Linked DNA regions of Canis lupus familiaris. Each later gene encodes a partner of the first gene's protein in a complex. Links are inferred from orthologs where the notes say so. Each region holds a gene or a part of one and is shown on either strand. Other genes may lie near its edges.

Evidence for each region.
Region 2: LIMS1 (region 1) and PARVA share a complex: the UniProt entries of both Homo sapiens proteins name them as parts of the heterotrimeric IPP (ILK-PINCH-PARVIN) complex. The link is inferred for Canis lupus familiaris from reciprocal best matches to the Homo sapiens genes LIMS1 and PARVA.

The regions. Positions count from the first base shown.
Region 1 is NC_049231.1:36,265,488-36,280,440, forward strand, and holds the start of LIMS1 (LIM and senescent cell antigen-like-containing domain protein 1), read right to left. Parts: upstream 14,022-14,953; 5' UTR 13,953-14,021; coding exon 13,771-13,952; intron 9,244-13,770; coding exon 9,084-9,243; intron 1-9,083. UniProt on the Homo sapiens protein: Within the IPP (ILK-PINCH-PARVIN) complex, binds to F-actin, promoting F-actin bundling, a process required to generate force for actin cytoskeleton reorganization and subsequent dynamic cell adhesion events such as cell spreading and migration.
Region 2 is NC_049242.1:35,979,167-35,994,861, reverse strand, and holds the start of PARVA (alpha-parvin), read right to left. Parts: upstream 8,094-15,695; 5' UTR 8,066-8,093; coding exon 7,930-8,065; intron 1-7,929. UniProt on the Homo sapiens protein: Plays a role in sarcomere organization and in smooth muscle cell contraction. Required for normal development of the embryonic cardiovascular system, and for normal septation of the heart outflow tract.

The DNA.
Region 1 (14,953 bases):
TCCTGCTGCTTTAAAGAAAGCTCAGAATTAGAAACTTGTCTCATTTCAAGGTAAGTGCAAGCAAACGCTGACGATCTTCACTTGGTGATTTGTACTGGTTTGTCGTCAATGGTTTTGAAGTGAGAGGGTCAGCAGACAAGCACCTCCTCTGGTTGGAAAGTTTCCTCTCCACCAGACCTCCCTTCTCAGGGTTCAGCCTTCCTGAGTAATTATGATTCTGTATAAGAGGAAATGAGTGAAGAAATCTCTTTGTAAACCCTCTTTCCACTAAATCATTCATCATAAATTGGCCTTTCCTGTTATGCATTTTGTGATAGGGAAAAAAGGACGCATCTGAGAAATTCAAACTAAAGAGAGAGAGAAAGGAATCTGAAGTATTAACAAAGAACCTAGCCCCTAAATGTGTACTATGCTGAACTGAAAAAGGCTGCACACCACATTCCTAGTCCTTAGTTCAATCTACTGGGATTTGTAATGTTTCTGGAATTATATCTCTCTTTAACTGTTGGTTCCATTTTACTTACAAAAGTATCTTCAAAGGGGAAATATTAAGATGATCCTTTTACTGGAGATACTCCAAGATGTCACAAAGTTAGATTTAGGAGTCATTACAGTGGCTATATATAGTCGATGTCAGGGCCTCTGGTCTCCATAGGTATTCCCAGCCCTGCCCCTGCCCCAGAAATGGCATTTAAACAGCCTTCTCATGCCACCGCTGACTTGGTTTTTTACCTATATTTCTTCATATGTACTGGAGGATGATTGGAGCTACTAGCAACTCATGAAAACCAGCACTGATGGAAAGAGATTTCCCTTTGAAGCTAACTACAATACCAATTCAAAGATCACTAATCATATAGAACTCATACATTTATCCAACCCTTCTAAATTTTCCTGGTCTGAAAATGAGGAAAGTACCATGGAAGCCACCTTAGTTCTACCCAAATCATTGTGAAAACTGTATTCACTCCTAGGACTAGGGCGCAGTGTGGTCTACACGCCTGTCACACATTGTGTTGTAAGCTTTCCATAATATTTACTGAATGAATGAAGCAGCAGTCATGGCCACATATAAGGGACCATTATTTCTCAGTCCTAGGAAACCATTTCAGTTTTGGAGTCAGGGCATCATCCTTGAGCAGACAGGCAAGTGTGAGATAAAATCCTGACCTGGGGCAGCCCAGGTGGTTCAGTGGTTTAATGCCGCCTTCAGTCTAGGGCCTGATCCTGGAGACCTGGGATCGAGTCCCACGTCCAGCTTCCCTGCATGGAGCCTGCTTCTGCCTCTGCCTGTGTCTCTGCCTCTCTCTCTGTGTTTCTCATGAATAAATACATAAAATATATATAAAAAAAAAAGTCCTGATCTGACCACATCCCCACTAGTTAACTATGGGCAAGGCCTCTGAGCCTCTCATAGCCACATGTAAGTTGGGAATAAAAATACCTAATTTGTAGGGTTTGCATGGGAATCAGAAGAATGAAGTTTGTAACCTCACTCATAACAGAGGTTTAGTTATTTCGGAAATAAAAATATTAATGTAACTCACAAGTCTTTTAAAATCAGCAACTATAGGTCATTTATCCACATATAACGTACTACATTCAAGGCAAGGCGAAGGACTGTGAAGTAAGACAAATGAGGTGACCTTACTCTCAAGAGACTCACATGATACAAGAAACAGCACCTCAACTCTTGGTGCTAGTGTTGGAAAGCACTACCACTGTGACTGTTTTAACGTGTTCCTCGTTTTTATTACTACCCTGATCACTACCTGCTGATACAGACAAAACTAAAAGAATCAATAATACTTAAAAGTTGTTTAAAATTAAAATGCAGAAGTAGGGCATTTGAAAAGAGAAAAATAAATTTGTTTGTGGAACCAGTTCTAATTACCACATAAATAGTATACCTTGCTTTGCTGAGAATGATATTTTCATTATGAATAGCTGAGTGATGACTATCCAAGAATGGTATACTTATCTTTCCTTGTGCCTATTTAAACCAGAAGATTAGGCTTTCTGGAAGGTCTTTTTAAGTGAAATCTGTTTAGAAATACTTTTTAATTAAATTTATGGCACAGGAATTAACTCTAAGTGCAGTCAAGTTCTTAGAGACAGAAAAAGGGTTTTGTTTAATGAGGGTATCGTCTAAACAACCTGGGAAACATGCTCACCTAAAATGGACTTGGTATTACCATAGTGAAGTTCATAACCTCCTCAAAGGGACACACTTCATTTAGTGGTTCTCAGCTGAGGGTGAGTTAGCTCCCCAATGGGTATTTGGCAATGTATAGAGAAACTTTTAGTTGTCACAACTGGGGAATCTAGTGGGTAGAGTGGTATTATTAAACATTCTACAATGTACAGGACAGCCTCTCAAAAAAAGAATTATCCAGCTCAAAATGTCAACAGTGGGGGATCCCTGGGTGGCGCAGTGGTTTAGTGCCTGCCTTTGGCCCAGGGTGCGATCCTGGAGACCCAGGATCGAGTCCCACATCAGGCTCCCGGTGCATGGAGCCTGCTTCTCCCTCTGCCTGTGTCTCCGCCTCTCTCTCTCTCTCTGTGGGACTATCATAAATAAATTAAAAAAAAAAAAAAATGTCAACAGTGCTGCTGCTTGAGGAAGCCTGGTTTAGTGTGTGCAAGCGTTACTTTATTTGAGCAGTACTCACCGGGAAGTGGTACTAGGGAGTGAGCTAACTTACTAGGTACGGTACATGCTACCTTGTAATTATCTTGTTAGAGAAAACTGAAATTCAAAAATGTTAAATAACTTGCAAAGCCAGCATTGCTGGGATTCATTCCCCAGCTGTCAGACGCTAAAATCTGTGCTGGCTTCTTCTGTATCCATCACCTCTCTTAGGCAGACTAATAGAGAATATAACCTAGAGGTCTTATATTATCTTGTGGGATTTATTTATTTATTTATTTATTTATTTATTTATTTATTTATTATCTTGTGGGTTTCTATTAAGAACTTAAAAATCATGATTGAAAGGTCTCCTGGCTTCTCTGCCAATACACACTGTGAACTTGAGAATTGGCCATCTGAACACAGATGAAGAGGTAATTCTATTGCGTGTGGAACCCTGAATTACTAGGTTCCTTTTTTGACCATGTACCGATAAAGACAATTCACCCTCTGCACCCACTGCACAAATCTGAGAAAAATGCTGAGGTCCTGAAATAGACTAATTATGGATACATGTTTCCTGAGAAATCCTAGGATGCCGGCTTCACTGGCAGCTTCTCTCAGTCAGGGGACCCTCTAAAGGCAAGACACTAGGCTAGAAGCTGTTGCAGATGTACATGCTGACAACCTGTAAAATCACATCATGATTGTTTTCTAAATACAACTATCTTCCATTTATTAAGCTCTTTTACCAAGTAGTAGGCACTCTGCTGAAACATTATAAACATCATCCTATTCTAGTTTTCAGGAGATTCTGGGGCGGGTGGGGGGGGGGGTCTGTGCTCAGGTAGATTTAACTTCTCCCTATTACCAAACAGTCTATAATACTGTGAAGTTTTCATATCTTTTAATGATTCAATCTTGGGCAGTCCAGTTTAACCCACTGTAGGGTAAGTTCCTTAAGACTCTAGCCAGCTTGCTCATCATTCTACTCCTAGAATGTAACATGGGCTGCCTGACACATTGTAACTGCCTAATGAATATTATAAACATTGTTAAATGGTGAATAAAGGATGAATAAACAACTCTTGTGGAAAATCTCATGAATGTCTGACAGACTGAAGTTCTTTGGTCATCTCCAATCTGTGAGAGTTCCTCAGTCTTGCACTGTCTTACATGACCTTGACATTTTTAAAGGGTACTGGTCAGCTGTTTTATAGAGTGATCCTCATTATGGGTTTGTCTCCTGATTAGGCTGAAGTCGCAGATCTGGAGGGATAATACCACAGAGGTTTAATGTGCTCTATTTCTTGCATCATATTGGGGAGTACATAATCTCAACAGGATTTCTTAATGGTCATGTGAACCTTGATCACTTGGTTAGGACGGTATCTGCTAGGTTTTGCCACTGCAAAGTTACTACTTTATACCTCCTCTATTTTTTTTTTTTAAAGATTTTATTTATTTGAGAGAGAGAGAGAAAGAGAGAGAGAGAGAGAGAGAGAGAGAGAAAGAGAGCACAAACCAGGGGGAGAGGCAGAGGGAGAAGCAGACACCATCTGAGCAGGGAGCCTAACGTGGGGTTTGATCCCAAGACCCTGAGATCACGACCTGAGCTGAAGGCAGACACTCAGCTGACTGAGCCACCCAGGTGCCTCTATGTTACCCTTTCTATAGCCCCGTCAGAAGTGAGTCATTAAGTCCAGTCCATATACAAAGAGAGAATTGTGCTCTTTCTTTTCCATTTAATATATGCTCTTGGAGATAGAGTTTAAAGTTATTTGAGTCATTTAAACAAACTGGGAGGAAGGGAGCTTTTAATATAAGAAATAGTACTCTAAGTATCAGAAGTGATTATATTAAAATCCCAACTAGATATAACATGTTACTCAATAACAGAAGATTTTGGTAAGGTCAGTACCCTCCCAAAGATCATTCTTCACTATGACTCTTCCATTATACCTCCTCTGCAAAACACACAAAAATTAAAAGTAATTGCATTTAGTGTTATGTGTCTATAAACTACTTTCAAATAATTTGGCAGGAGATGGGTGTGGAGGATGTGTGTGTGAGATGCACAAGGGCACATGATACTCGTATTATTCTTTCAACTTTTCTGTAGGTTTTATTTTTTAAAAAAGATTTTTATTTATTTATTCATGAGAAACACACACACACACAGAGACAGAGACAGAGACAGAGAGAGAGAGAGGGGCAGAGACACAGGCAGAGGGAGAAGCAGGCTCCATGCAGGGAGCCTGATGTGGGACTCAATCCCAGGACTCTAGGATCACGCCCTGGGCCAAGGCAGATGCTCAATGGCTGAGCCACCCAGGTATCCCTTTTCTGTAGGTTTTAAACAAAAAGTTTGTTTATTCAATACTATCACACTGGCCTGAACTAACATATCAAGTCAGCGGTCCACATATGGTACTGAAAATACATCATGGCTCAGGCTTCTACTCAAAACTGAAATCTCCTTTGTTTCTATTTAAGAATTCATTTCTTTCATCCACCACTCTGGACAACAAAGCCTGGACAATGTTCATGGGATGAACGACGGGTAAATGAGTAAAGTGTACCAAGATTTTGAAGTGTATGTTAGAAAATGTCTGCCTTGGCTCCTAGTGGGTATATTAGCATTTTATCTTGCCATCTTTACTATCCAAGTACCGTATACACGGGATTGTATTTATTAAGCACCTAGTAGTCATCAAATACTGTATAACAAACGATAGAAATACCAAATTAATGAGGACAGTCCCGACACCAAGGTATTTAAAGTTAGAGGGAAAGAAGATAAACATATAAAGAAACATGTACAATGCTCTCCAAACTAAAGATATAAACAAAATGTTGTGTGTACTTAAAGAAGATAAACCGAAGTGAGACAGATGGGAGTGTCCTGAGAACATGACTGATGTGGTCTTGTAATAAAAACACCCTGAGTAAAGCAGTCATTGATGACAGAAGCTATGGAGCCCAAGAATCATGAGACCAACTTTTTATTCTTTGGTGGTGATGGATTACAGTCTTGATGGCAAACTTTAAGTTCACTAGCTGAACCACATGATCTGGTGGGACTGAAGTTCATCTTGAGTTAAGGAGCCAATGCAGGTAATAAACCTGGATGCTGCTAACTCATGCTTAAGAGGAGCTGCAGATGAGCCAGAAATAGCTGAGCTCAGTCAGCTTACCTCCAGACAAACATCTTTGTGAGTGGGTAGGAAACTAGTGTAGTGCTAGATTCGCCTTCAGGGCCATAGGGAGGAGCATCCTGGCCATCTGATCCAAAGTATCAGACATTCCACAGTAAAAGTGAATCCCATTTTCAAGGGGAAGTAAGTGCAGAGAACCCACGTAGAAGTCTTCAGAACTAATCCTATGGAGAAAAGAGTAGGGACTATGGAAATAAGGGAAAGATGATGTTTTAATAATAAGACAAAAGCAATATCAAAGCTGTAGAGTGGAAAGGACACATTTACTATTAGTTTTTTAAAGGATTTTATTTATTCAGAGACAGAGTGAGAGCGGAGTCAGGGGAGGAGCAGAGGAAGCAGACTCCTGAGCGTGGAGCTTGACATGAGCCTGATCTTATGATGCTGAGATCATAACCTGAGTCAAAATCAAGAGTTGGTCATTTAACTGACTGGGCCACCCAGCCACCCCACATTTGCTATTATTAGATACAGCAAGACTAATGTATGTACGTGTGTCTCACATGGAAAAGCAAGCCAGGTAAATTTTGGGGCTTCCTTTTCAATAACTGAAAATACAGACTATTTCTTGGAAGCCTTGGATAGCTTTCTCTCTAATATCATTCAACTAAAGGAAAGGCTGGATTTTCCACGTGCAGGTTTACAAATTTCTGGCCTTGGAAATGGGGTTTTGATGATAAGCATAGCTAAAATAGCAATCTTCCTCAGGATCCCAAGGACCTTAACCTGGGCAACAGCCCATTAATAGACAAGTTCTAAGTATTCGTAACATTCTGGAATAATATCAGACAGATCCAGGGAGCATATTTATAGTCCATAAGTGAAGAGGAGTAAGAGGTGGGCAGGAGGACAAGTGTGAGTCATGCTTTATTCTGTTCTGCCAAAAGCTCTCACAGAGCTTTCCCTCTGACTAAGCACAAGTGGCCTGGCAACTGACAGGCTGCAGATGAAGAACCAGGACCTTAGGGGGTGATCATGCTTGACAACATTATGAATTCCAAAGTGCTCGGCAAACCGACCATATAATATGGAATTAATGTTTGGAAACACAAACTCTGTCTTTCTCTTTTGGGTCCTTTTTTTGCTCCCCTGACTCTCTCCTAAGGCTTCTGCCATAACTACTCACTTTAATAAAAATATCTTAAATTTGGGACACCTGGATGGCTCAGTGATTGAGCGCCGCCTTCAGCTCAGGTCCTGATCCTGAGATCGAGGACGGAGTCCTGCATCAGGCTCCTCACATTGAGCCTGCTCCTCCCTCTGCCTATGTCTTTGCCTCAATCTCTCGCTCTGTGTGTGTCTCTCATGAATAAATAAATAAAATAAAAAAAAAAAATCTTAGATTTGAAAAGAATATTCAAGGGAAAGAATACCATATTGGGCATTAGTAACCAAACTAAGTTCTAATCCCATTTGTGTCACAGATCTGCTGTGTTACAGGGACTTTTCAACCTCTGTGGGCCTAGAGTGGGGGAAAAACGTAGGGGTAAGGTTGGGATTGACAGAGTATGAAGGCTCATTTCCTCAGGAGGCAGACTCCTGACTCTCTTAAGTCACCTCCTGGCACGCCCCTGCTGTGCTGACCTGAGAACCTGAGTGTTCCATCAAGACACAGAAGCAGGTCTTGTCCTTTTACTCCCGACTGAGGACCACCCTTCTTGCCCTTGCTCCCTTTCTCTCCCTGCTTCCCAGACCCCTAGAGATTTCCTTTTCTTCTTCAGGAATCTGTCACTCTCCTCATTACCACTGGCAGCCTCTCCCACAGTCTTCAGGGGGACCTGTCACCTTGATGCCAAGAGGTGTAGCCCCTGCTCCAGCCGCCTCCCTGCCTTCCCTCCTACTGTGCCTCTCTTGACTGTCACTTGCCATTCCCAGCTCAATGCCATGACCTTTGACAGAAAAAGAGATCTCCCTGCCCAGGGAAAGAGGAAGAAATGAAAGCAAAGAGAACAAGGATTCCTGTTCCTCTTGCTAGGGTTTTTATAGTGGGGAATGCAGCTTCTAGGATACAGCAGGAGCTCAAAAATATGTTCTGGTGAATAAAATAGTGCTCCCTAATCAAATCTCTTAAAGCTGTTATGTTATTATATACAGGGCAGTTTTGTATGTTATGAGCATATGATGGGCTTAATAGCTTTTCTGCAGGCTGGGCTGGAAACCTGTCTCTCAGGAGGCATTGTTTCTATGGGAAAATGTGGTCTGAGTGGCAAACAATTGACTTACTAATGACTGTTAAAAATTACCTTTCCTTCCTCAGGAATGGCTTTTAAAAGAGGGAAATTAAAAAATGTGCTAGGCAAAGAAGAAATCAAAGCACAGCCATTTCTGGCTATACCATAATTCTATGTATCTATATTATTGTAGAGAGACACACATATATAAGTATGTAAGGAATAAGCTGGTAAAAGTATACTATCTAACTGGGCACACACACACACACACACACACACACACACACGCCTCCATAGACTAGCCCCCTAAACAGACATATTCTGTGAGAAGGGGTTTCAGTGATGGTAAGAAGAAATACAAAGGAAGTACAGACACCATGAGGTAACACAGGAGAATCAAGAACAAGAATTTGAGGGGTACCTGGTTGTCTCAGTTGGGGAAGCATGTGACTCTTGATCTCAGGGTTGTGAGTTTGAGCCCTACATTGGGTATGGAGATTACTTAAAAATATAAAATCTTAAAAAAAGGGAAAAGATTTTGGAAAAGAAGATACATAGTATAGCTTAATATGGACAGACTATCCCTCCAAAATAACCAAACAAAATCCTCCTTAGCAAATAAATGCATGGAAGCTCCTACTCGTTGCATGAAAGGTAGGTAGGTAATGGATGCCCTGCTTTAGAGAAGATATTTCATGGTGCTCTGAGTTGGGGAAAGACAGAGGCAGGCATTATTAGTAAGGCATGTGTAGGGGGCATACAAGTGGGGACCTGAGTGGAAAAGCCAAAAAACCTGTGGCTAATGTTTATAAAAGGACTCTGCTGATGTGTGCAGGTCTGAAAGGTGGAATCACAAGGTACTTAGGGTTCTGAAAGAGGGAGGCGGACTGAACAATATACATGGGGGGCGTCTGTCAGGGCACTCTGCACATGAGCCATCGCTCAAATACCATATACTTCAATACAATTTTCACACCAAAATTTAAAGCAAAGAAGAATGCCTCAAAACAAGGGGAAGGGCAGAGGAAACAGTGCCCTGTGCTTCTGTCTGGGCTGACTCACCTCATAGAAGAGTCCCTCTGGAAACTGCTGGAAGCACTGAGCACACACGAAGCACTGCTCGTGGTACAGCTCCCCGTTACTGTTTACTATCTTCTCGGCGGGTGCAAAGCCCCCCTTGCAGCGTTCACAGGTGGCGTTGGCCAGAGCATTGGCCATGTTGCTGTAACACACAAAGGACAGGGAGTCACAGACTGTCTACCTTTTCTTAGACTTCAGACCAAATGACATGAAGAACTGAGGAGAACATTCTATCTGATCACAAAAATCATATTGCAGCCGTAAAGCCCAATTTCTTGTGTCTTAAGAACTCAAACTGCTCCCACCTCTTTGTGGGTGTTCAAAGAGCCTCCTGCTTGGATTCTTTTTCTTTAGCCTTTCTGACATTCTTCTTGCTAAATATACTGTGAGTACCTACTTCCTGTGAGGAACTAGGGATAGAGACAGAAGCCAAGCTTTGCCCTCCAGGAAGGAGCCTGAGGTTACAGCTTAAATAAGCAGCCTAATTAAAATATCCACAGGTCACCATCTCCAGGCCACTATCTCTCCCTTCTGAGGACAGAATCTAAACTGCATGTCAATTGAACACTGAATCCTGACACAGGTTATCTCTCTGGTTAGATCCTGCTGAAAGCAACTGTTGCAAGTAGTTCTTTTTTTTTTTTTTTAAAGATAGATTCATTCATTCATTCATTCATTCATGAAAAACACAGGGAGAGAGAGGGGCAGAGACACAGGCAGAGGGAGAAGCAGGCTCCATGCATGGAGCCCGATGCAGACTTGATCCCAAGTCTCCAGGATCACACCCTGGGCTGAAGGCGGCGCTAAACCACTGAGCCACCTGGGCTGCCCGCAAGTAGTTCTTAAACCAGACTGCCTTAATCCTGTAATCTCATTGGTAAAACAAGCATTGAACGCTAACATTGTAAGTTGTTTCTTAAAGTCACAGGATACATTGTGAAGATCCTTTTATGGACATGACACAGGAGGTTCAGGGAATTGGAGTGACCAGCCCAATGTTGTGACATGGTGAAGCTCAGTAGTTAGGGGAAGACATAGGACCAGAATCCAGAGTCCCTGTTCATAAAATCACAACCGGATTACGGTATCAATTTTGAACACTCAAGAGGACGTGATAGGGACACCATCACACTTTGCACATCAGGCAGTCACATTACCACCGATGACCCCAGTGACCTGGTCTCTCTCGCTTGCTGTCAATCCACTGCACCGTGAAACATACAAGAGGCACTTGATAAATGGACCCGCATCCTAACTAACCTTTGTGGAGTCTGGAAGAAGAAAAGTATATACTCAGATAATTATTTCGTTCTAACAAGCCCTGAGTTTCACATAAAGAACTGCTTCATTCTAAAAGGCTTTGAAGTGGGGAAGGTCACCTAACCAGAGTCATTGTTGGCCAGTTTGTTCTTCACAATTGGCAAGTTTATTTTCAGATGCCCAATGAGAGTACAAGCTCTACCTGTGTGTCTAGTTGCCTGGTGCAGCCTGTACCACCCAGATATTGAGTCAATCCACCTCAAAAAGTTATGGCCAACATTCTCTAGAATCTTCACAGCTACCCTATCAGGCAGGTGAGGAGTTTTCATCTTACAGACAGATTAACTGCCTTGTCCCCTCAGTTTTCCTGTTTCCTTAGCAGAAGGGCTCACACATACCTTGTCTCACCTCCATCCCACCCCAGTGGAAGATACCTTTGCCTTCTTGTCCCAAATGTTTCAAAGAATAGTATTGCTATTCTGTAGCCTTTCCATAATGAGCCCCATGTAGAAGTACCACATTCATAACCACATATCAACTCACACCTCAACTTTACTTCATAGGTTTAAATATAGAATTAAAACATCACAAAAAAAAAAAAAAAAAAGAAAGAAAAAAAAAAAGGAAGAGAGGCAGCCTCAGTGCTTGGCAAATCTGGCCTAAGTCTCATACTAAAATAAATTTTCTACTTTGTCATTTTAAAATTACTGTGGGTTATGGAGAGAAATGCGTCACATTCCCTTCTTCATGTGGCTTTGGCATAAGCCAGATGAATTGTAGCAGTTTTAGCAAAGCTCTTGGAAGGGTCTGCACTTCCCCTTTCTCCTAATCAAAATCTGCAGGTGTCCCTGGATGAAGTATGGTAAACCAACACCTGCCCTAATATCGTTTCGAGGAAAAAATTTTTAAAAAGTATATAACTCTGAAAGCCAGAAGATGCTACCCAAATATAAAGGCATCATTATTAATTTTGAATCCTCTCAAAAGATTCACCAGATCCTTATAATTTTCACAGAACTCTCAAAAAGCAGGAAGAGAAGGACATTCTGGAATATCCTGCTCCATTATCTAGATCAAGTAGTTCTCAAAGTATAGGGGTCACTGTGACCCATTTAGGGGTTCAAAAGGTCCTTTTTCCACCTGCATCTGTGGGAGGCCTATTTTCTTTGTATATATATCTAAGGCAACATATAACACTAAGATAAATGCAGAAACAGAACTGAGAAACTGTCTTAGACTGTCATTAATGAAGATTTGAAAATATGTAATTCAATGCCACTTTTCCCACCAAACTTTTTTCATTTTGGAAAGAGTTATTTTTCATAAAAATTAACACTTATGAATAAATGCATAATGAGTTTATGTATCTCAAATGAATACATATTTAATTTTGTTCTTAGTTTGTATTTTCAGTAAATATTGATAAGCAAAAGCTCTCTGCAGACCTCAATACCTTTTTATTATTATTTATTTATTTATTTATTCATTCATTCATTCATTCATTCATTCATGAGAGACACAGAGAGGCAGAGACACAGGCAGAGGAAGAACCAGGCTCCACGTAGGGAACCCGATGCGGAACTCGATTCCAGGTCTCCAGGATCACGCCTTGGGCCAAAGGCGGCACTAAACCGCTGAGCCACCTGGGCTGCCCTTAAGAGTGGAAAGCAGTCCTAATATCAAAGCATTTGTCACCTGTTTCCTACTCATTGTACTAAACACTGTTTATATTCTAATTCAAATACTGAAATAGTGAGAAAATAGGTAGACAGTTTCTCATACACAGGAAAAATAAACTAGCTTTGGAGATAATATGTATTTTTGAAGAAGTATTCCTTTTAATAACAAGCAGGATAAGAAAAGAAACTACATTAGAGGAAACTTTCAGGAAAGAACCCCTAATAATCTCACTAACCTACTGAACTGTTTACATTAACTTTCCTTTCTTGTCTTTGACCCTCTGGCACTATATATTTCTTTCAATTGACTGTTTTTTTGAGCAGTTTTAAGTTTACAGTGAAACTGAGGCAAAAGGAGTCGAGTTCCCCTTCATCCCCACGTGCAAGCCTCCCCTGCTACCAACATCTCTACCATAAACGTAGTCTGTTATGACTGATGATGAATCTACAGTGACCTATGCATTTGTTTATAACTGTTTTTATATATAAAAGTTACATTTTAGAAGTCATGAATGATAGTTACAACTGTCATCTGGCTAGTTATAATTAGTCGGCTAATTTTTCAAAAAAGGATTTTTGCTAAGAAGTATTGATGATAAAGAATATATATGTTGGGAAATATATATGTAGAAGCCTTTAGTACAGAACCTTCACATTTGGCCAGTAATAACTGATTTACCCAATCCACTTCTACAGATGAACCATACACAGAAAACTTGGTATCACTGGGCTTTTTTTCAAGTGTCTCACTGTTAAAAGTATGTAAAACAAATTTGCTGGCATCAAAACGAAAAAAATGTGTAAATCCAAAAAGCATCTTAAGAGTCCACAGAGCATTTTGGTTACAGTATAATTATAATTGCCCAATTACATTTATTTTTTTTTTTTTTCCCCATTACATTTAAACAGAACTCTTTATAAGTCGTGAAAACAGAGGACATCTGTTATAATACCACACATAATAGATTAATGGAAATAGAGAATCAGGTCAGTTAAATTCCCCTTAACTCATGATTGACAAATTGAGGATTTGCAGTTAATTCTAAGCTTATGACTTTGCGGAAGATCAACAATCTTCCATGAGTCTAACTACTACTTTGCACTACTTTTTAAAATTGTTTGCTAAAACTCATTTAATAACATGAATTAGACTTTTTAGAGTTAATGGCATATATATGGCATATATATATACACACACACACACACACACACACACACCTATATTTGCTAAATACACAACATTCTTATTTATTGATTCAATCCCCTTAAGACAATATTAAGAAATCCAGTTTGCCTACCTCAAATTGCTGTTAAACCTAACAAAAATGTGTATCTTTATCAACAGTCTGTAATTCAGTTTTACTGTTTCCCTCAACCAACTTGTCATCTGTGGGAAGTTTAAGAGTATACAATCTTTCTATTATAAACCCTGCCAGCAGCAACTCTAAGCCTCCCCCTTGGACTACATAATGAAAATGTACTATTATGAGGAACCTACTGAACACAAAGACATTACTACTATTACTTTAAAGGCAGCATTTTCCTTTACTTCTGCATCTCATCTGGTGTATCTCCCCGCCTGCTGGAATAGGCCTCCCTCCCCTCCATCACTCTGGAATGCCCCTGCTCAGAGTCGAGGAAATAAAACTATCAATGGCTACTGAACTCAAAGCCCAAGCAGACTAGATCTGGAAGATAGGAGCTCCTCTTCCAGGAGAGGAGACACTTACAATTTTGCATAAAAGTCACAAAACTCCTTGTAGACCTTTACGTCACTGTGCCTGCGCTGTAATTTGGACACAGCCCGCTCGTCTTCATTGCCATTAGCCTGGTGGACACTGTTAAGGACTGCCTGGGGGATTTCTTCATTCTCTGGGATAACACAAGGGTGCACCCTGCCCGGGAACGCCATCCCAGGGTGCCTGAGAGCTCCAAGCCCGGGGCAGAGAGTAGCAGGGCAGGGGACGGAGAAACAATATCCAGGCCTCCCCTGCTTCCCTGCCAGGGTCACTCCCACTGTTCCCACACACGTCAGCCCTGCGTTTGCCAGGGTCGCTCCTGGCCCTTCATATTAAGAGCTCTAACAGCAAAGCAGTCACTTGCTGTGCCAGTCCTGAGTTTTGAGGCATTTCTGGAAGCTCTAGAAAACATTCCCCAGAGCAGTGACACAGTCTTTGCTGGAGCAGCCTTCCCGGCAGACTGTGTCTGTAAACACTGCTTCAGAAATAGAGGACTGGTTGGCAGGGTCCAAGAGAAACAAACATCCACATGCCCTGGGGGATCTGTCACCAGGCATTATCCACATGAACACTGTGGTTCTTGTAAAACACCCTCAGATATTGTTTCTAACAAGCTCCCCACTGAGGCTAACGCAGCTGGCACACACTGGGGGACATCTTAATGCCCAGGACATGCTTGTCAGCTATGCCCATGGCTATCTTTCACCAAGGATCTGTGAGTCCCTAAGAATTTGGAGCTACTTTTGACTCTTATTGATCCTAGCAGTTGGCACATAGCAAGAGCTGGATGATGTGTTCAATGAATGGACACGAGGAAATAGGAAAGAGTTGGGCATCTAGTTAGAAACCCTCAGCTAATCCTGGTCTTTATTATGGTTAAAGATGCTGCTGGCATTCCTGCTATAGTCAGTCCACATTGCTGTCATCTTGCAGCAGTACTGCAGAAGAGGAGGGTGATGATGTAGGCCATGGGCAATACAAGGGCTCAAAACATTTCTCCAGGAACAGTCCTCTGAGCACCAAGGTGCCCTCCTAACCAAAATTAAGGTACCAAGGACCACTAAAGAAAGAAACACTAGAGATGAGAGCCATGAAATCAACAGCAAACAAACAGACAAAATGCAGCTGGGACTTCCAAGTAACAACTAATAAATAATAATGCTATGCATTATGC
Region 2 (15,695 bases), on another chromosome or scaffold:
AAGGGTAAAGAGATTCCCGGCGGGAGGAGGCAGGTTCATCACACACATGCACACACGTGCACACACAGCCAGAAGTTGAGGCCTGGATGGAGTCAGGGGACCAAAATGGTCATCCAAGGTTAGAGAGGGTTAGAAGGAACCTGGGGACACCCTCAGGAGGAATCAGATGCCCACTGCTGATTCAGGCAGCTAGTTCACCATTTTGCAGGGTATCCGTTTAGAACCTGGTGCCGGGGAGGCACATCAGTGCCAATGTGAGCAGGCCAGACACAGCTCCCGCCCTCCCAGAGACCACGGGGAAAAGAATGGAAGGGATGAGGGGACCTAAGCCAGATGAGGCCTCCTTGTCCCGGGGGCTCCAGGAATCAGACAACACCTTCACCTTCCACTTTGAAGGAGAAGTTCGTCTGATTTCAGGCTGCAGAGCATGCTGAAAACTTAACAGAAGGTTTATACCCCCTTTTAAAGTATTTTATTTTTAAACGTTTTTTTTAATTACTAAAATTGTATAGAGCTTTCCCCAAACGCGTTCTTTTTTCCATGACAGTAAATGGTCAATGGATTTTAGATGCTTACACATGTTTACATGAGGATTTCATCTCTTCTGTAGTAATGGTTAAAACATAATTATGAACAGTGCTTGTTAACCAAATAGAGATATTCCATGAGACAACGACTCCTAATATGGAGGTGTCCTTGGGCCGGGGCCCGCTTATCCTGGCTCCCATCTCCTCCTCCCGACACAGAGGTGCCTTCATTAGTGGAGGAAAGAAAGAGGTCTTTGTGATGATGTCATTCCCAGACCACCCTACACAGACAATAAAACTGAATTTGAGAGAAGCCTGGTGAAATGAGAGCTCAGAAATCAGAGAATACCAGAGCTGCAAGGGCTCTCAGAGGTTATGTAGCCTAATCCGCTGATGTGAGAAATCCTTTTCCAAAGAGGAAAAGGCCTAAGATTACACAACCAGTTAGCAGGGGATTATTTTCACCAAGGTAAATATGGGGAAATTCATTGCATGAAAACTCCGGTATCATTATGCACTAAATATTACGCTGGGCAGGAGGGCTACAGGAAGGGGGCTCTCACCATGGTGTGTGATGTGCACACCCACAGATGGTCACGGTGCAACGTGGCCAGTGCTACAACAGAACCACGGGCAAGGTGGCAGGGGATCACAGAGAAGGAAGTACCTCACTCCCTGGGGGAGCTAAGGAAGGCATCCAGCAGAAGGGGATATCCAAACTGGGTTTTAATGATTGAGTAGGAGTTTGTTGTATAGGGAAAGGGAGAAGGTCTTTCCATTCCAGAAATATGAAACAGCACATATACAGGTTAAAACACATGAAAGAACATGATGCATTTGGGGAATACAGTGTTTTGGTGTGGCTAAAATGGAGGATTTTTGAAAGGGAAACAGAGGCAAGACCAGAAGGGGAGCAACCGAGAAGGTCTTAAGTACCATGCTTAAGAAGTTTGCCCCGAGAGGGCATTATCTTTGTGTTTAAAAAACCAAACAAACAAAAAAACAAACAAAAAATGGTATATTGGCAAAAGCATGAAGGGTGAATTGAACAAAAAAAGGACCAGAGACAGGGAGACTAGCGGGATGGATATTGTAACATTTCAGGTGAAAAATAAAAATGGTAAAATTAGAAAAGAAATGAAAGAATCTCGAAGATGACAAAGAGCAGTTCTGGGGCCTGAGCTGAGGTGGGGACGGAAGGCAAAATCCACAGGCCTCCTGAAGAGTGGGCTGCACATGGGACGGAATACGGCAGGGGTGGGCAAACCACCACCCATGGGCTATGCCAGCCTGCCATCTACTTCTGTTCAGCCCCCTGCTAAGAATGGTTTTCACATTTTTTTATTTTATTTTTTTTTATTTATTTTAAACGTTCTGGAATTTTTTTAAAGATTTTATTTATTCATGAGAGACACAGAGACAGAGAGAGAGGCAGAGACAGAGGCAAAAGGAGAAGCAGGCTCCATCAGGGAGCCTGATGTGGGACTCGATCCCAGGACTCCAGGAACATGCCCTGAGCTGAAGGCAGGAGCTAAACCACTGAGCCACCCGGGCACACCTGGACGTCCCTGTTTTCACATTTTTAAATGACTGGGAAAGAACAAGAATATTTTGTGACATATGAAAATTACATGACATTCAAATTCCCAGGCCCACGACTCAAATTTTACTGGAACACAGCCACACAGGTTCAATCACTTACTGTCCATGATCTTAAGGGCAGAATTGAGGACAGGCACGGGGGCTAGAAAAGTCTCGAATGTTTACTATTTGCCCTTTAAGAAGAGGTTGCCAGGATAGAGGAAGACCATGGCCTTAGACAACTGATGGGATGGTGGAAGAAGAGGAGATTGGGGCAAGCGCCCAGGTAGCAATGCCCTCGAGGGCATGTGGAACTGGAGGAGCTAGTGATACACCTGGGAGATGGTGGACAGATGTGTCTGGACTATAGGTGAAAGGTCTGGATTTGAGATGTGGATTTGAGGGACACCTGGGTGGCTCAGCAGTTGAGAGTCTGCCTTCGGCTCAGGTCACTGTCCCCACTGCCCCCCGACCTCATCTCCCTGCTTCCACCTCTGTCCCCTCAGTCACTTGGCACCACACCAGAGTGATCCTGCTGGAACAGAAGTGCAGTCATGTTATTCCTCTACGCAAACCCCTGAAACCTGTTCATCTCATTCTGAATAAAGGCCCCAGTCATACAATGGTGTTCAGCGCCCTGCGCAACCCGCCCCTACCCTCAGTCTAATCCCTGAGACCTCACTACCTTCCACAACTGTATCCACTCTCTCCTCCAATCACAGTGACCTCCTTCCTGGCCCTTGACATATCAGCAGGTCCACTCCTGCCTCAGGACCTTTGCATGTGCCATTCCCTCTGTCTGCAGTGCTCTTCTCCAAGATATACTTATGGCTCTCTCCCTACCTCCCTCAGGTCCTTATCAGAAATATCCTTCTCAGGAGAGGCTTTTCTAGCCATTCCATTTTACATTGCCAACCATCTCTCAACCCTCACCACTCTGTTCCCTTTCCCTGCTTTATTTTGCTCTCAAGCACCTATCACTTCTCTAATACAACACACATAACCTACCAATTTATCTTGTTTAAATTAGACTAGTCTTTTCAGAGTTCAGTAAATGGTTACTGAAAGAATGAGGATAGTGGGTCAGGAAGTGACTAGAAGATAAGCAAGGGAAAGCTGTTACGGCAACTCTTTCAAGACCGGAGGTTGAGTAGCTTAAGAAAAAAACCAGTATCAGGAGATCTTCTTCAAATGGGAAAGACTTGGGTAGCCCGGGTGGCTCAGGGGTTTAGCGCTGCCTTCAGCCCAAGGCGTGATCCTGGAGACCCAGGATCGAGTCCCACATTACGCTCTGTGCATGAAGCCTGTTCTCCCTCTGCCTGTGTCTCTGTCTCTCTGTGTCTCTCGTGAATAAATAAATAAAATCTTTAAAAAAAATGGGAAAGACTTGAGCATATTTATAGAATGTTAGGGGGTAGAGCAGCATGAAAGAGACCAAGGGCATCTGGCCATGCCAGGTCTGGGAGGGACCAGAAATGGAGGGCCTGACAAACAAGGGGACAAGGGACCTCTTTGGAAGGGACTAGAGCAGGCCAGGAGCATGCAGGAGCATGAAAGAAAGTGTAGCTCTGGGCAAAGAAAGGGAAATTGAACAAGTTCATACCTGGTACTCAGTTTTCTATCTCAAGGTGTAGGGGGGAGCTTGAGTAGTGAGGGTTTGAGGCAGCACTCTGGAAAATGATTCGGGAAGAAGAGGATTGCTCAGCAGTGCTGGGGGCTCCCCCCCACTCCTGGAACCAGACATATGTTGCAGAGTTTGGGGATTTTTCCCCAGTTACACTGGAAGGCCAATGAGGACCAAAGTGGTAAGTCCAAGTATTATTATAAAATTCTTAAAGCCCTTTTTGGACACTTCAAGCACTGGACAAATAGAACTCTAAGGGATAATAAATGGATAAGTGATAGGAATAATCATTCCTGCTCACTCAGTTGAGGGCAACTCCAGCTGGCAAATACAATTCAAGATGATGTCCCTGGGGGACGCCTGGATGGCTCAGTGGTTGAGCACCTGCCTTCGGCTCAGGGCGTGATCCTGGAGTCCCGGGATTGGGTCCCATATCTGGCTCCCTCCATGGAGCCTGCTTCTCCCTCTGCCTGTGTCTCTCCCTCTCTCTCTTTCTCTGTCTCGTGAATAAATAAATAAAATCTTTTAAAAAAAAAAATAGATGGTGTCCCTGAAAAGAGCAAGTCTTGAGGATAGATCTGGAGAAAGAAAGATGAAAGGTGGCCCTTTGGCAAAGGACTCTGAAAATACTATTCTAAGAACCTACACAAGAGGGCTTTGTATAGCATGAAGGAGGGCTGGAACTGCCAAAGAGAAGATCCAGAGAAGAACAAAAGCCACTTCAATGACAAATCATGAAAATGGGACTATATATTCTAAAATGCTGAAGTATGGGGTGCCCAGGTGGCTCAGTCGGTTAAGCGTCTGACTCCAGATTTGGGCTCAGGTCATGATCTCAGCGCTGTGGAATTGAGCCCACCTGTGGCTCCACAGTCAGTGGGAGTCTGCTCGAGGGTCTCTCCCTCTGCACCCCCCTGCCTGCTCATGCACACGCACGCATGCACTCTCTCTCAAATGGATAATTTTTTTTAAATGCAGAAATATGACATTTTGGAAACAGGAGTATCTGACGTGCAAGGAAAGATCTCTAATTTCCAAAGGGACCAAAGCAGGGTTACCAGGGCTTCACACAGTCATGAGCTACCAGGCTGTCTGCAGAACCTGTAAAATGTTCTGCAGTCCGAAACAAAAAGACTATTTCAAATTTTAAAGACTATGTCAAATTGAGCTATCAATTTTAAGAGCTACCATTCATTATTCATATCATGCTATGCATATTACATACTTTATTCCCATTTTATAGATGAAGAAACAGACTTCGAGAGATAAGGACGCTGTCCTAAGTCACAGCAATAAATAAGGGGCTGGACGGGAAACAAACCCAAAGGTGTCTGGTCCCAAAGACCACACTTTTAACCTCCATTTTCTCTAAGGTTACTTCTTCTTATTGAAAACACAGGAGTGATGACTACTTTTGACATAGTCTTATGAGACTTTATAGTCATTCTATGATGTACGTAGTAGGTATTTGTAGGAAGACCTATTTTTATATGAAATTATTGACTAACTATTCTAACATGTATTACATGTTTCCAATCTTTGTGTCCTACCGTGGGACACAACAGTTGTCAAGTGAGTGAATGGCAGTCTGTGGAGCCAGGAAAATTCAGTGCTCAAGCACTGGGATAATATGTGGATAGGCTAACATCAGTGACCTTGAAGAATCACGTTCTAGAACATGGGGGGCGGGGGGGGGGGGATAGAAGAAAGCAGTTTCTGCAAAGCACAGAGCTGTGAGTTTACACAAGATCCAGAGTAAGATCTAGCCTTACTGTTACTGAAGTGATGGTTACTGTTACTGAAGCAGGGCCTGGGAAAGGTCAAGCACTGATCACCGAGATCCAGCACACGCTCACCAAGAGCAGGTCATTTCAGACCAACCCAGCTGCCTTCTTTGGGCTCGCAGAACTACCACCTGCAGCGGCAAGCAGCCGGGGCTGGGGGGTGGTGGGCTTCTTCAGAAGCAGCCAACTCACCATTTATATCTCCTGGATTAGTTAATAGGCTGAATAACAGAATCAGGACTTAACAGTTAAGTATAGCAAAGATAAACATTAGCACCTGGTTTTAAATCCCCAATTGCGCAAATCTGAGATAGGGAAGGGGATGGTTCAGGAGCAACACAAAAATGCTTTTGAGTAAATTGGTAGCCAACTCAACGAGAGAGAACAGTGTGATACAGCTGACAAAATAAGGAAAAGCAGCCTTGGCTGCATTACTAGAACCTGGTGTCTGTGCTAGAACAAAGGAGGGGACAGCCCTGTTCTAAGCTGGGTGGGCAGGACTAGAGCACAGCAAACTATGTGGGCTTCTGGGCAGCTCACTGTGAAAGGGCCTGCTGGTTATTTGCACACCCCCCCACCCCACTCCCCATTATGATCTCTGCTCTGCTCCTTGCCCTGAGGGAGCTGACCCCTACACACTGCAGTGTCCAGATACCTTGCCCGGTGACTTTCCACTGGGCCCAGCCAATCAGAAGCACCTGCAAGGGATTCAAGGGGAAGAAGAGAGAAGACGCAGAGTATCTCCTGTGCCAATGGCTCCCTGCTCCATCTGCACATTACTGACAGTCGCTGCGTCCCTCTACAGCTACACTTCCTGCCAGGCAGGCCCCCTTCCATAGTTCCAGCTCTCTGTGGGTTCTGGTGGGCTCCTCTGTCCCTACACCCCAGGTCTAGGAGTGGTAACAGCTTGCACATGTCTGTTGCTAGGTTCCTTATTATCCTTTCTGGCTTCCCCTACCCCTGCCCTCACCTCTGAAAATAGTCCCTTCTCTATAGTATTTTCAAAATCCCAACTGAGTAGACCTTCTGTTTCCTGCAGGGCTCCCAAATGCAAAGGAAGGGATAGGAAGCCAGCAGGCCATAAAATCATGCCTATGAGGACCGACCACCTCCTGGAACAGAAGATGCTTGTACTGGTGAAGGGAAGACTTTGGGAAACAGGCTAAACCACTCGGGGAAACGTGAAAGGCCACCATCGGTCTCATTCTCCTGGCCCCACAAACTGTGCAATTTTACAACAAACTTTTCTAAAGAGTCGCAGAGGTGGGCTGAGCACACGCGGTAGGTCACGGAGCTTCAGAAATTCTGAGTTGTTTATGCTTAGCTGGAGAGCCCACAGGAGGAACACAGTAGGCAAAAGGAGGGCAAAAGGGGCCTTTCTAAGCCACGACTTCATGATTTGCTCCCAATTGTACGCTTCGCAGGCAGCGGTTTACCAAGATAGCCAAATCAGGAAAAACATTTCGAGGGATGCGTTCTGCTGCTTCTCCCTCCAACACAGAAAATAGACGTGTAGCTCTTTGTATGAAGCCCGACAATTTCTCAGCACGGAAGTCCTCGTTGATGCTCTAGGATAACTCAGGAACGGGGAACTTGCTTTACATCCCGGCCACCCCAGCCTTCAAAAACGGCTATTCCCAAACCACCAAAGCAGTCTAGGAAAAATTCTATCTACGCATCTATGGCTAGAGCTTCTCCTGAACCGTCACTTCGGTTTTCAAACCAAACACCGGGATGTGACATCTGCCAATGAGACAAAATATCTTACATGCACATTGGAGGGGGGGGGGGGGGTCGCTTCATTTCACCCTGGTTGGTGGGGGAAAGACGATGCTTTTTTTTTCTTTTTTTTTTTTTTTACAAGAGCCCTCAGCTCCTGAGTGCACAGAAGGGTCCCACCGCGATGCTGCTGCATGGGATGATGCCCCTAACCCAGCTCTTCCCCTGGGGTGCAGGGGTGCCCCTACCGGAGGCCCGAGCGCTTCGGGGAGCCGCTCATTCATTCGGCGCACGTCCCTACTGCACCCCGGGGCGGGGGGGCGAGAGCCAGAGGCCACCTCCGCTTCTGGGGCTCTCGGGGCGCCCCACGCGAGCCGCCCTCACCCCGAGGCCTGCGACGGCAACGAGCGACGGTGCGGGGCCCCGGAGAGTTTCGCAGGGGCCTGGGGAGCGCCCGGGGCGGGGGTGGGGGTGGGGGGCGCCTCCGCCTGGGGGCCGCGGCCGCCCCCTCCCGCCCCCTCCCGCCCCCTCGCGCCCCCGACCCCGCGGGCCCCCCCAGCCCGAGCGGGAAGGCGGCGGCTGCGACCCGCGGGGCGCTCCCGGCCCCGGCCCCGGACCCCGACCCAGGCCGCGCCCCCGCCCCCGCCGCGCGCCCCGCGCCCCCGCCCCCGCCCCCAGCCCCGGCCGCGCTCACCCTCCTTGGCCTTCTTCCTCCGCGCCAGCGTCCCTCCGAGCTTCCCCAAGAAGGAGTCATCTTTCTTCCGGGACGGGGGCGACTTGGGGGTGGGGGACTTGGGGGCCGAGGGCGACTTCTGCGGGGACGTGGCCATGGCGGCGCGGGCCGGGACGCGGAGCGGGCGCTGGGCGGGCGCGGCGGGGCCGGGGCTGCGGCTTCCCGAACGGAAGCGGAATTATCCCAGGCATCCAGGCGGCCCGCGCTCCCGGTCCCGGCCCTCGCTCCCTCCCTCGCGCCGCCTCCGCCCTGCCCTGCGAGGGGCTGCGCGCCGGCCCTCGGCCCTCGCCCCTCGGCCCTCGCCCCTGGGGCCTGCGCCCGCGCCCCGGGGCGCCCGGAGCGGGGAGGGCACCCAGACGGGCCGCCGCAGGGCCTGAGGCCTGGTGTGCGTGTGTGTGTGTGTGTGTGTGTGTGTGTGTGTGTGCGCGCAACGGGGAGGGCACCCCAGACCTGCCCCTTGCAGGGCCTGAGGCCTGGTGTGCCTGTGCGTGTGTGTGTGTGTGTGTGTGTGCAACGGGGAGGGCACCCCAGACCTGCTCCTTGCAGGGCCTGAGGCCTGGTGTGCATGTGCGTGTGTGTGTGCAACGGGGAGGGCACCCCAGACCTGCTCCTTGCAGGGCCTGAGGCCTGGTGTGCATGTGCGTGTGTGTGTGTGCAACGGGGAGGGCACCCCAGACCTGCCCCTTGCAGGGCCTGAGGCCTGGTGTGCGTGTGCATGTGTGTGTGTAACAGGGAGGGCACCCCAGACCTGCCCCTTGCAGGGCCTGAGGCCTGGTGTACGTGTGCGTGTGTGTGTGTGTGTGCAACGGGGAGGGCACCCCAGACCTGCCCCTTGCAGGGCCTGAGGCCTGGTGTGCATGTGCGTGTGTGTGTGTGTGTGTGTGTGTGCAACGGGGAGGGCACCCCAGACCTGCCCCTTGCAGGGCCTGAGGCCTGGTGTGCGTGTGCGTGTGTGTGTGTGTGTGTGCAACGGGGAGGGCACCCCAGACCTGCCCCTTGCAGGGCTTGAGGCATGTGTGTGTGTGTGTGTGTGTGTGTGTGAGTGAAGCAGTGGGGGAGGGGACCCCCTCCAGCCCAGGAGCGCTGGAGCCTGGAGGCCACATTTTCCGCGGGCTCTGCACCCAACACAGATCCTGGCACAAATCGGGGTTCAGTGACCGCCGAACCGAAGCCCCTGCTGCTACTCCATCTCCCAGTGCCTTCACCCAGCTATTGGGTGACACCCTCACTCCTCCCCTGCATTTCTACCTGTACAGTTATCAGGCTGTGTCTCGTGTCCACGAAAGCGAGTGAACCGAAATGTGTTTCGGCACATCCATGTTCCTGCGGGCAACCTCTTCACCGCCATCCCGGAGGGAGAGGTTTGAAGGTCGTGACATCAGGGCTGAGGCTTCTTATTCTTACGAAACACCCGTTTGTAGAATCTCAATGGCGTGTACAAAGGAGGATCACACAAATGTTGGTGGAAACATGAATGGGAAGGTACGACCATGGGCTCCTGCGAAACAGCCCCGCACCCCAAATTTATCCTGCCTAAATGAAAGCAACAGAATAGCAACCAGACTCATTTGGGCTAACAGAGGAGTGCTACAAGCCCCAGGTTTCAAGGACTCTTGCTGAAAATGATTAAAAGGCACATTTATTGGGTTTGCTCCCTCCCCCCCAATTTTGGGCTCTCCTGACTGTGTCTCTCCCCCTCACTGCAGCCCCTTGGCAACTGTGTTTCCTCCAAGTAACTACAGCCTGTGGACCCTGTGTGACCACCTGACCCAAAGGGAGCTAATGTTTGACTGGAGAGCAGCCAATCAGATAAGCTCAGTCAAGAATCTGAGCAAAGCAAGAGACTGTTGTCAGAGTCAGGCACTTGGTGGTGATCCTGGAGATCCACTACTGGAGTGTTCATTTTCAGCTGCGTGCAAGGAGATGAGCAGAGAAGCAAACCAAGGGAGCTAGGAAGTGAGGTCAAGAAGCCAGGTGGTCTGACTAATGAGAAACCATAGGGGAGTAGCTGCCTGGACCTTGAATCTCTTCCCAGTACCCACTGCAGTTCCCCAGAGGGCCAGGCCGTGCTTCCTTCCTAGGACGTGTTCCTAAAGCTCTAAGTAACACATCCGCCTTCACTTGAGCTAATCAGCAAACGGACAAGCAATAATTCCTGAGAACAAAAATTTAACAAGACCTCCAATAGATTCCCAGTGGAAAATGTGTTCGTGTTATCTTCATGTAAGTCACGATTCTACTTTTTTTTCTTTTTCTGGAAAATTATACTTTAGTCGATGCCTCTTACCCAATAGAGAGCAGAGAAGTCATGATGACTGCTAAAATTTTACCCAGGAGCAAGGAAAGTTTATGACCCCCTCCCACCCTGATACATCTTAAGGAGATGTGGAGAAGCCAAAACAGATTTTGTTTTATATCACTAATCATTCTCTTTCGGGATGTTGGATACATACAAATATCTCCAACATCTGATCTCCAGCCCTGGGCGCTCCTGTCAGGGAATCAGCTCAATAGCTATGTGATCTTGGGCAACTCTGTTCACTTATCTGGGTCTCCGTTTCTTCATCTACAAAATGAAATAGTGGTTCTCTAGCCTGATTGTGCAACAACCCCGTAGGGAATTGGTGATAAACATCCACAGGCCCCATCCCCAGAAATTCTGAATATAACAGATCCGAGGCGAAACCAAGGAATAGGTTTTTTTGTTGTTTTTTTTTTTTTAACAGGGATTACATCAGGTGATTTAATGGGTCTGATCTACACATTGATATTTGGAAACCTAGAGCCACTTCCAGCTGCCACATCCTCTTTTCTCCACCAGTTGCTGGTATCTGTAATCAGGGCATAGGTCCTAAATATGGCACTATTCCAATTACACGTGGAGGTCTCTTAAATTTTGCGTGTGCGTGCTTTTGCATATACAGTCCTCTTTGGTGATGTTTATGCATACTAAAGTTTGAAAGCACCTAAGCAAGACTAAAATAAAAAGAGGAACAAAGTCTTGGTTGTTGAAAGCTGGCTCCCAGAAAATACCGGTAAAATAAGCTGTGGAGAAGACAAAGCTTCAATTTATTGTACACCATGGTAGGGAGAGCTCTGCCTTGGCAGAGTCTGAGTAGCAACTTGGACTGGGGGACGGCAGAAGGGGATATTTATAAGGTTTTGGAATCTGATTTAAGGTAGGTCTTTCAATGAGGGGGTGCTTGTTTAATTTTGGCTAAGGATCATACTAGTTTAGGATTGGTAAGTAAAAAGGCAAATCTTTTAAAGCGTCCTGGTGAGTAAATAATCTTTTTAATGTTGTTGAAAAGTTTAAGGGTCTTACGTTTATTTCGGTAAGGTTTTGGAAGAAGTTCTTGAAAGGCATAATAAAGTTATTTGTTTTTTTTTTTTAAGATTTTATTTACTTATTTGAGAGAGAGAGAGAGGGTGTATGATTGAGCACGAGCAGGGCTAGGGAGGTAGAGGGAGAAGCAGGCTCCCCACTGAGCAGGGAGGCGATATGGGGCTCCATCCCAGGACCCTGAGATCATGACCTAAGCCAAAGGCAGACGTTTAACCAACTGAGCCACCCAGGTGCCCAGAATAAAGTTATCTGTAACTCTTACCTTTCTGTGAAAGATATTTTTGGAATAGCTTTGTTGATACAGACAGTGAAATGATGAAGTCCTATTAAACAGTAACCTGTATGGGTATGAATGGTTCCTAGGGCCTCAACGTTTTGCAGATGTCTTGTTTTCAAACCTTCCTGCCTTTAAGATAATTATCAATCTTTCTTGAAAGAGAGATTCCCATTAGGGAATGAGCAGTGGATTATAAATCAGTACCCCTCCAAGTGTAGCCTGAAAACCCATCTTGATCTGCAAACTGTTATTGGTCCTCAGCGATATAAATACAGAAATTAAGAGTGTTTAGAAACTTTTATAGGAATTCAACAATGCAATCTTATATTTGTTTACTATGACAATAAAAATTGGGAGCTTATATTTAGAATATCTTTTCATTTTATTTTTCTGGTAATTCTTTTCTTATGGTATTTTCCAAAAATATTGGTCTGGGATGGATCAGTTCTTCACCATAGAGCATTTGGAAAGTGCTGTTCCAAATTGCTCCAGTTTGCTTACAGAGTTCACTCTCTTTTGATATTATGTGTTGATAGTCCTTATGGATATGATCTAGTTTTTGCTCAGAAGATTAAATGAGTTAGTACCTGAGAAAGCATCTTACATATAGGCTCTGGCACTGAAATAGATTGAATCTAAATCCTGCTTAATCAAGGGCACATACCTCATGCTGTTCTTTTAAAAGCTGCAAAGAAGAACCTGCACCAGTTCTCTCCACTGTAAATCAGTACCTGTAATTATGGCCCTACTGCTGAGCCGCCCTTCTCATGCTTGGTCATTGGACTCCTCTTATCCAAGGGTTAATGATAAGGACAGCTCACAAATGAAATGTGCTTTGCTGTGAGACTCTACTGAATCTCTAGGTCAGTCTCTCCATGAAATCTAGACCTAGACATACCGCCCTGAGAGAGTGCGAACCTGGTTCCAGTCCTGGCTCAGTGGCTGGGTGTCCCTGGATGAATGGTTGCCCCTTCCAGTCCTTCCATTTCCATCATCAGGGAGGTGAAGGCAGTCTTAAAGCTGAACGTCACACATAACCCGATGATCAACAATTTCAATCTAGGTGATACCCAAGAGGAATGAGGACATCTGTGCCCTCCCATACACCTTCTAGAAAGTTCGTAGCAGCACTGTTTGAATGCTTATTAAGAGTTGAGCCCATAAATAAATTGTGATAGTCACACAAAATGGAGCATTATACAGCGTGGAGAATGAACAATTTGCAACCACAAGGAACAACAGAGATGTGACTCACAATATTGAGTGAAAAGAAATCAGACACGAAAATAGCATATACTCTATGATTCTGGTCATATAAAGTTCAAAAACAGGCAAAACTAATCTCTGGTGTTAGAAATCAGGATAATAGTGAGCCTTAGCAGGGAGGCTAGTGACAAGAATGTGGCAAGGTGGGTGAGAAGGCATGAGGGGAGGCTACAGGACTGGTAGTGTTCTTTTTCTTGATCTGGGTACTGGTTATTCACTTTGGAAATTCGTGGCACATGAACTTAATATATTCTTTCAACAGTTTCCTATGTGTATGTGGTTCTTTTATATAAAATGAAGCCATGACAGTTCATGCCCTTTAGGGTCCCTTTTATTTCCATGGTCCATATCACTCAAAAATCCACTGGTCTCAGACTAGGTCACATCTGTCCCCAGACCTTCCCTTAGGAGATCATTTTTCTAGTTGAACAGGTACTGCCCTCAGCCACCCAGCATTGTTCCCACCCTGGTCTTTTCATCTTCCCTCAGCGATTCCAACAAGGAAAGGCGGTGGGGCGGCGGGGGGGGGGGGGGGGGGTTGTAATTCACAAGGCAGGAGCAGGCAGTGGTGAAAGTTTGGGGTTCGAATCACCATTCTGCAGTCAAGCATCTATGCAATCTTGTGCAAGTGATTTAACTTCTATGTCTCAGGTTCTCATCATAATGCGAACAAATGAACACTAGCCTCATAAAGTTGTTGGGAGGATCAAAAGAGTGTAAACTACTCTGCTGTTATCTGCCTAGCAGATAACAAGTCTTAGCTCAATAAAGTGTTGATTATTACATTTCATTGGAGACTCATAAATGGTATCATTACCTCCATTTTATAGGTAAGTTGCTTAAAACTCGAAGAGTTTAAATAACTTGCTTCAGATCAACAGCTGATAACTGAGAGATTAATACTATAGCTCTTAGAATCTGTTCTCCCAAATATCTACAGAAGCCACAATTTTCAGCTGGGATATGGTTCCTTGGAATAAAGACTATATTGCAGTCCTATGATAAACTTTGATCAATGGGTTGTGACCAAAAGTGTTATGCGACAGCTTCCAGGATTCCTAACACATAGATGGGAAGGGGGTATTCAGTTTCTCATGTCATCAGACTACAGGCCAAGCCCCCCACTGAGAACAGCTGGAAAAGCTGGACGCTGAGAGTAAAATAAATCTTGAGAGCACTGGAAAGCTGCCAAAACTTACAGGGCCACAATCTCGGAGAAGAAGGGACCCCAGAGAAGTGAGCCCATCACCCGGGACTTCTTTCCCCCAATTTCAGGAGAGGGAGCTGGGAAGCTGGGAGGTTGAACTGGACAATTGCCAATCTCACAAGGATAAGTTGACAAATGATCAGGGGCCACCAAACCAGGGGCCCCCCAGGAATCTCCCCCACTTGCTTTAGTTTGGGACTCTAAAAGATTACCCTTTGGTAGACAAAGAAAAAATAGTAAAAGTAAAAAGCACAACAGAGAAAAATTGTTAATAGCAGACCCAAACAGAACTACAGCATATGACGTAAAGAAAATCATTCCAGATGGAAGCTTGGTGACACAGGAAGGAAGAAAGCACAAACAAAAGGGTAAATGCAAAAGGATATTATCTAGGGGTGCCTTGGTGGCTCAGTTGCTTAAGAATGTGCCTGTTGGCTCAGGTCATGATCCCAGGGTCCTGACATTGAGCCCCACATCCAGCTCTCTGCTCGGCAGAGAGCCTGCTTCTCCCTCTGCTGCTCCCCCTGCTTGTGCTCTCTCTCTTTCTCTGTCAAATAAATAAAATCTTTTTTAAAAAAAAAAGCAAAAGGATATTAACTAAGTAAAATAACCATAATGTCTTATAGAACTTAAAAATGTAGAAATCAAATTAAAATCCACAGAAGTGAAAACATTTCAGTTAGGAAATGAGTAAATGGAGTTAGAGTTCCAAGGTCCAGTCACTGGGAAGAAGTACAGGTAACAATTTATACTGGACTTTGATAAATCAAGGTATTGTGTTGTAGCCTGTAGGGTAACCATTAAAGAATAGTGAGAGAGTAACTAGTAAGATAATGGAGAGAAAATTGGAGTCTGTGTGCTCCATTCAGATAGATTTCATAAATGGTATTTGTGATCTGTATCTGTCGTATTTAAGCAACTTGCCTTTTGCATTCTGGTTTCTTTTTCTTTGGTGTGTTACTTTTTGTCGTTGTATAGATTAAAAGCCCAGGATATGGAAGTAAAACGAGCATCCCAAATTAAGGTAAAAGTCAAACTGGAAGAGGTTTTCCCTGGGGGAAGTTCTATACTTCCCAAATGTGAATACCATCTGTTATGGGTTGAGTTGCATCCCCTAAAAATATATTGAAATCTTGACCCCAGAACCTCACAATGTGACCTTATTTGGCAATAGAGTCATTGCAGATGGACTTAGTTATGCTAAAATAGGATGTCAGACAAACTGGAAGAGGATGGGCTACCAACCCGTAAAACCAATATCCTTGAAAGAGGTAAGTTTGAGCACAAATATTCACAGAGGAAAGATGAGTGAAGACACACAGGAAACAGCCAGCCAGCCAGCCACTGGAATTATGCTTCCATCAGCCAAGGGATGCTTGGGGAAGCTTAGTAGAAAGCTTTGCAGGGAACGCACATTCATTTTGGACTTGTAGCCTCCAGAACTGTAAGAGATTACATTTCTGTTGTGTCAAACCATCCAGCTTGTGGTGCTTTGTTATGGCTGCCCTACAAAAATAATATACCAGCCAAGGGACAAAATAGGCCCCTGCAGATCATGAAGAGGGTTCTACAAAGGGTCTGTATCTTAATCAATAATCCGAGGTTGTTTGACCACATCAAAGCGGTGGGAG